2 linked regions of the Caenorhabditis elegans genome follow. The protein of the gene in region 2 interacts with the protein of the main gene of each other region in a pairwise test. Each region holds a gene or a part of one and is shown on either strand. Other genes may lie near its edges.

Evidence for each region. The genes of interacting proteins can lie anywhere in the genome.
Region 1: the proteins of tax-6 (region 2) and kin-29 interact in binary tests that used the Caenorhabditis elegans proteins (3 or more experiments, as listed by UniProt).

What each region holds. Positions count from the first base shown.
Region 1 is NC_003284.9:2,850,427-2,854,180, forward strand, and holds the start of kin-29 (Serine/threonine-protein kinase kin-29), read right to left. Parts: upstream 2,095-3,754; 5' UTR 1,962-2,094; coding exon 1,926-1,961; intron 537-1,925; coding exon 450-536; intron 1-449. Other genes in the region: Zinc finger protein tra-4, read right to left, coding at 3,516-3,562, 3,615-3,741. UniProt on the Caenorhabditis elegans protein: Regulates chemoreceptor expression by phosphorylating the hda-4 class II histone deacetylase (HDAC) and inhibiting the gene repression functions of hda-4 and the mef-2 transcription factor, enabling the correct sensing and transduction of food signals.
Region 2 is NC_003282.8:10,499,409-10,503,162, forward strand, and holds the start of tax-6 (Serine/threonine-protein phosphatase 2B catalytic subunit), read right to left. Parts: upstream 1,653-3,754; coding exon 1,613-1,652; intron 1,128-1,612; coding exon 1,038-1,127; intron 790-1,037; exon of another isoform or gene 511-789; intron 302-510; coding exon 201-301; intron 154-200; coding exon 1-153. UniProt on the Caenorhabditis elegans protein: Calcium-dependent, calmodulin-stimulated protein phosphatase. Dephosphorylates arrd-17. Dephosphorylates daf-16 at 'Ser-319' which regulates daf-16 nuclear translocation. Dephosphorylates calcium permeable cation channel pkd-2 at 'Ser-534'.

The DNA of each region.
Region 1 (3,754 bases), on a different chromosome or scaffold from region 2:
TGTGATAAAATATAGAAATTTTTTTAAGCTGAAAATAGCTATTAATTAATTTGAAGCTACCGAAAAAGTGCTCAAAAATTGTCTCATAGTTAAAAATTTCCGGAAAAAAATTCTAAAATTGTTCAAAACGATTGATTATGTTGGGCCAGGTATTCTGCACAAGTACCTAATTTTTTTGAATTTATATACTCACTCAATAAAAAACTTTAAGATTAATAAAGCGGCACTGGATAAAAAAAAATTTATATCAGAATGAAGTTTCTTGAAGTCTAATGCAAATTGACAACTTTTCAAAAAATGGGATTTTTTCACAAGCTTAGTGTTTTTTATGAACTTTCAAGCATATCTTTGACTGTAACTGTAAAGTTTCAAAACCTTTCTTTTAACTTTTACAATGATATCTAAACGATTCATGACTTTTTGAACCTGAAAAATAAAACCGGACAAACCTTAGTCTTAGCAATCTTGTGCCGCGCTATCCGAACTGTGGCAAAATTGCCTTTGCCAATTGCCCGACCAACATCATACAGGCCTATCTGAAACGAATTGTTTTGTACATAATAATGATGGTACTGTTTCAGTTGTTTTCCTTCTTTTCGCCTTCTGTACAAAACACTTTCCACTATTCACTATATTAGCAATATTTGTTCTTGTGAATGAGAATCGTTCAACCAGGCGGACGCACGTTTTGCTCTTAACCCCCATATGCGGAGCGCGTGCAGACTGACGAACAAAAAACCAAATCCAATTATAATCGACAACAATACATTTTGACTCATTCTCTCCCATCATTATGAACATCACCACCGCAATTTGAAGGGTTGCTAGTCAGGCAAAATATCTATTCGAATACAAGTTTGTCAAACTTTGATCATGCAAACAGTCCTACTATCACTTCGAATTAAATCAATTGGCTACGTGAAATGATTGTGTAATATGCTGTTTTACCACATTTTCCATCAATGAAAGTTCAATAACATCGGTTTAAGTTGTGTTTTGGCAGAATCGAAATTGCAACACTCTTCGTCAAGGAAATTTTGAATTTTTAAGAAAATAAACTTTTTACGTTTTACGGTTTATCTGCACTTTGTTTCCATAGTAATTCGAATGCAATGGAGAATCTTAAATTTAGAAAATGTGGGAAAGATTTTTTATGCAACTGCATAATCGCATCGGAAACCAACTAACATGAAAGGAAGTAATGATTTTTTTTCCAAAAAAAAAACTACGCAGGTTTTTTTATGGAACATTGTTTTAAAGGTGGAGTAGCGCCAGTGGAGAATTTGTTAAAAACCTTTTTTTATCGACAACTTCCAAAAAGTGGCGAAAACTGGGATTTTTTCCAATTTTCAAAAAATCATAAAATTCAACTTTTTTAAAAATGTTTTTAACTGTTATTTGATTACTGTGGTGTGGTGAGATAGCAATTTTTTAAATTCACAACTGACGCTACTCCACTTTTAATCTATTTTATTTTTTTAACTTCTTGCTAAAAACGTTGCATGACGTAAAGCGGTCAAAAATGCTGTGCAAAAATTTGTCGGACGAAAAAAAAAGAAAAACTCTCAAGCATCCATCTTTATGTTCTGCCGTTAAACTCTCGGCGCTCGTTGATTTATTGCCGACTGTCGAACGGATGCGTGGGAATTTGCTTGGGCATTAAACGATAAAATCAGAAAAAGACTGTTCTATGGCGGGAAACAAAAACGACAAAACGCACCTTCTCACGGTAGATTGCGCAATGTTTTTACATACATATTTTATGTAAATTGTGTGACCTTAAATGAATGGGGAGAAAAAATAAAGTGCAATCGCACGCCGAACAAGTCAATTAACTAGGCACCATTCAATTAAGTGTGGGTGTTTTGTGTGTGTGGGGAAGGGAAATTGAGAACAAAGAATGGAACAGAGAGAAGAACACCCACCTTTTCAAGGCCCATACGCCGCCGTGGCGCAGCCATTGCAGTGTTGGTGTGGCGGCGCCTGAATGCGACAAGATAGTGTCGTAAGTTAAAACAGAGAGTGCATAGAGTTTTACCACCAGACGCACATATACATACATACACGCTCTCACTCACCCACTCACTCACTAACGCTCATTGCCGCCGCCTCCGCCGCCGCCTCGGCGTCTCTTCTTCTCTCACGCTCGCCTTCCAATACACTCAATAACGCTCACCGCCATGGCGCGCTCGCACACAATTCCTATTCGCTTTCTTTCCCGCACTGTGTTTCTCGATTTTCCGCGCCGCTTTTTTCCCATCTTCTCCCACCATCCTCTCTCTCACTCTCACACTTTGGACTAAGGCAGCGGGGGGCCCGCACACACGCACACACACACAAACAGACACACATACACAGGAAAAACGCACCCGTCCAGCGACCACTGTCTCTTTTTCTCAATGTCTCGGATTTGCGTCTCTCTCTTTCTCCACGCGTGCCCGGGTCCCGTTAAGAACTCTCGTCGCTTCTTGCTGATCTCTCACACTGACTCATACAATGCCTTGAGGAGCTCAACCGGGCGGCGGAGATCGCACTGCTTGAGCAAGTTCAAGAAAATAAACTTTTAAACCACCAACAAATTAATTCACGTAGTTTTTATAATGATAAAAATCATTCAGCATTTGTATATGAGCATTGTAATAAATTTCAAATTATAGTCACTTGACTTATATGTGTATATGTTATAAAAAAGTTGATTGATAGTTAGGACTCTAAAATAAAAAATGCCAATGGAACTATAACTTTTCCAATTAAAAATACTTGAAATTAAAAACATTGAAGGATTCAAGTTTGATCCGTTCTTCAAGCACCACGTGGTGTTAGATTGTCCCATTTTGGTTTGCTTTATGTAGATCTACAAAAAATGCGGGAGGTGAGACGCAGAGTTCTCGTCAAATTTTTAAAGGCAAAAAATTCCCGCATTTTTTGTAGATCAAACCCTGATGGCACAGCCACACACCACGTGAAGCGCCATGCACCGCGCATCTGAAAGTCAAGTACACTGCCCGGTGGTACTCCCACTAGGCTTTATTTTAAGCCACGTCCAAGCCAGTGACTGTGGCCAATATTTTCCGTTAAGGTTGTGGGAACCTAAAGGGAGGCAGGACTTGTATTTCTCATGATTGCTACCGTCCTACCACCTGAGCATTTCCTGTAAGTTATCATGGTAACAAAAATGCAAAAAAAAAACAAAAAAGCGAAAGGTTCAGCAATTCAATGTGAACTATGTCATAAATTTCAAAATATCTACATATAGTAACCTGATTTATTTGTGTGTATATCATGAATAAAGTTGAATGATTGATAGCACGCTAGATTAAAACATTAAAACACGTCCATGGTCTGAAAAAAAGTAAGAGGTGTTACAGTAATAGTACAATCAACATTAAATGACAAAATTAAACCCTTTTTAACATAATCGGGAAGTGAAACAAAAACAAACAAAAAATTGAAAAAAAAATGTATCAAATGAAAGTGTGGTAGTTTTGATGAAGATCTGTGATGATGAAGAAGTTTCACTCGCCTTTGTAGAGTATCCACATCCGCGGAGTCTCCACGTATGCTGTAATTAAAATTCAATTTTAAAAATTCTGTCATTCGTTTTTCAGTGATACCTGTCGGCTCATCTGCTGCCAGGTAGCCTCCGTGCTCTTCATACACGTGATGTTTCATCTCGGGGTATTCCGCGTGACGTTCGTGACAAATCGCGCAAACATATCCATGCTCATCTCTCTTGTGTTCCTGGAATCAATAT
Region 2 (3,754 bases):
TTCGAATAGTTTCATGAGATCGTAGAATTGACCATGAATGTCTCCGCATACAGTAACCGGCGCCTCGATTTCCAACATCGTTTTTTCGTTGCGGAACAGGCTTGAGCATTCTTGAATCACACGAATCGCGGCTTCTTCTTCTATCCTTCCTTCCTGCAAAATTGTTGATTTGATTATATTCTTAAAAATCTATTCCACACCTTAATAAAATGATCTCGAAGAACTTCATGCCTTGGTTTTCCAGTCCGCCGGTCGTAGACCTGATCAACGGTAAGGCGTTCGGAAACAGGAAATTGAACGGCTGAAAAATGAGAAATTAGAAAAAATATAATGTTTTCATTATTCCATTTTACTTCCGAATTCCTTCATCTTTCTATTCCCTTCTTCTATTTTTTTTTCAATTCTTCTCAAATTCCATGCTCTTCTCACGCTCATCTTCCCCACATGGCGCCCGAGCCGCCGCCGCCCTCCTAAATTACTATGGGAACCCTCTCAAGCGTTTCGGGATTAATTTTCGATTTCAAGCTACAGCAGTCACTCACTCCCCTTCCTTCCCGTCTTCTCTCACACACACGACGACGCCAATGACGGCGACTTCGTCAGAATCTTTTCGAATAGAAAAAGAGAATGACGGAGAGAGAATCAGAGAGAATAAGAACTCTCTATCTCTCGATATATTTTCTATGTGCCTGGTGAGCCGACGCGGAGCCATTGGTGAGCTCCTCAGAGCAACGGACCCGCGTGAGTCAGACAGTGAGAGTTTGCGCTGAGAATAGACGAGAAGAAACTCTCTGCGGCTCTGCAGCTCACGACGACAACGGGACAAGCAAAAAAAAAAATTCTCTGCGCGTATAATTTCTGGCTTCTTCAATGTGTGTGTGCCAATGTGAGGGTGGATGGGGGTGGTTGTGGTGTGCTGCGCAAAAAAAAAGAGAAAAAAAGAGCATGGCGCTTTTCTCCGTAACCTGAAGCAAGAAACACTTTAATTGGTTTTTCTTTTTCAAACTGCCGCCCGACTGCAGAAGCCAAATACTTACTCTTGACAAATCGTTCGGTGAACTGCTTCAAATCACGTTCGCGTTCACGATTGTTGTTCGAGGCGGTGGTGGTAGTGTTGGTAGTGTCAGCTGAAAAAATGGTTCTTTTCATGCATTCCAGATGAGATCCATTTTTCTTTCGCTAGATTTTTTCGGATAGAGACACCTAGAAAAAGGATGAAGCCCCCGACGACTGCGTGTGTGATGATGCACAACAACACTACAAATTCGATTTGTGTCTCTATTTCCTTCTAAAATCATTTTTCGAGGGGGCAAAAGGAGATAGAGGGAAAACAACAACTAATTTTTCGATAACATTTAAAGGTATGTAACGTGAAACGGAAACCAAACTTCAAAATAAATTGATTTGAAAAAATATTGTTCTTTTCCCGTATTTTCCCAATCAAAGAAAATGAAAATTCTAGTTCCTACTAAAATTGAAAATGGACTATTTAACTTTTTGAAATTTATTCAAAAAATGCTCAATGTTTGCTGATTTTAGCGATAGTCTTAAATTGCAAAAAATAAGAATAAAAACAATGGTAGTTTCAGACGAGGATTCAGTAAATACTTACGTTTAGCTGCAGAGTTCTGTCCTGCCGATGTCGAGGCCATTGTGTGTGTTTATATATTTAAAATTGATGATGACTTTTCCTTTTATCGACTGATTTTTTGTTTCACCTGCAATTCAAAATTGTAAGAAAGTGAGGGAAACTCTGGAAATGGTGTGGAGTTGCGCGGAGCCGAGTATCTTGGGGCAGCTGACTTGTATTCTTGAGCTCCTTTTTTTCCTTTTTTCTTCATTTCTCTTCTAGTCTCTCACGCGGCTCTCCTTCTCTCGCGGACACCATGGCGATTCAATTTTTATGACTTTTATGAGAGAGAGGCCAATACCTCATATATTTTCCTTTTTCGGCGCGCGGCGCCACTGACGGATCGGATGTATTTTGTTGGAAAATGAAAACGAACCCTTTTTGTTCAAAAAAATGAGTGAATGAGCTACTCTGGTTTGGTATGAACCCGTAGATGAAGCGGGGAAACGGCTATGTGTGGAGATGATGTAGCTTTGCGAAACAGTACGATACCCTCCTTCGGACCGTTTCACGTCACTTCTCTTCACACCACGGCACGACGGATCGATCTTTCACAGGCCTGCAATCAACATTTTGGTCAATTTTTGTCATACGGAGAGAAAAAGTTCAACATTTACGAATTAAATAACGATTATGAAAGAATAACGTCCCCGAAAAATAAGATGTTCCAATGCAAAGCTTTCCGTTCAATTTAACAAATTGATAGTTAAAAATTTAAATTCAATAAGAAAAAGAAAAGAAGCTTGACCAATCGAATAATTCAGATTGAAGGGAAAACTAGTTGTGCATGCCAAAAGGCGACAACAATGGGCGGGGTTCCTTTGGAAAAGACGAAGAAAAGGAACAATTGAGAATTGGAAGGAGAATCAAGAGAAATTTATTTGAGAAACATTACAACCAATTTATTAGCGAATTTTCTTAAAGCTAAAATGTCATCAAAATATGATTTACATCATTGAGAGAGCAACTATATAATTATTCTAGAGAACAAATTTATTCCGAACGTTTCTTCAAAAATATCTTAAACATCATTCATTTTTGACAACTTTATCAGGAAATTCAGCATCATCTTCAAAAAAAAAACAGTCAATACCACACTTTATTTTTTATTTCGCGAATTATTCAATTCTGACAGTTTCTCTGTCGTTTTGTCAACTGACAAAATAATTGTTCTGTTTCTATCGTTTTATGTATACTAGGTAGTGCAATACAAATAAAAAAAACGATATCAGTTGTAGTACTGTACAACTCTAAGTGTTTGTATTTAAAAATAGAACTTTCAAACAATTTTATAAGTTGAAAATGTCTTCTTCCTAGGAGCGATGTCATTTTCTAACTACTGTTCAACTCATGCTATGTATTGATTAAATCATTTATGAGCAGAACCAAAAACCCACATGACTTTGAAAAAGGGAAAGATCAAAAGTAATGGGCGGTGTGTGTTATCGATAAAAAACCTTTTTTCCCTCTGCGTGAGAGAGATGCTCTTTTTCTCTGCTTCTCTCTATCGATAAGGCACAATGAAAAATGAAAAGAAGCAGCACGGAAATTGGGTAAACATATGTAGCGATGCGACAGAAACGGAGAAAATTAGAGAAATAGACAGTTTCAGTTAAAGCACGTTTCAAATGTTGTCTAAAAATTATAGGTGGAAAATTTAGCAAAACCAGGCTTTCTACTCTCAAAATAAACACAAAAAAAAACAAATTTCAGACAAAAAGAAAAAGTAAAAAAAATCGGAAACTCTATGTATTGTAAAAACAGAACATGAAAATTCTCTAAACGACATAATAGTTCCATTCTTAAATTTTTAGTCATCACTAAGAAAGGCTTGTTGTTGTTGTTTATTCCTTCCAAAAAGATAGGTCCCTCTGGTATAATCATGAAAAGGGACAGAAACAAGGAGTCCAATAGATACTTCATGCATACAAATTTGTTGGTACGATGATGTGTATGCTGGGTAGGAGCTAGAAAGATAAGAGAACGAGTGAAAAGAGAGTGTTGAGATGTCAAAAGAAACAAAGATCCGCAATCCGTCGCGTGGGTCAGAGCAAGGGAAAAGCAACAAAAATCAATCGGTTAGTTAGCTGCGGTGAGTACAAGTATATATGGCTTAAAATATGT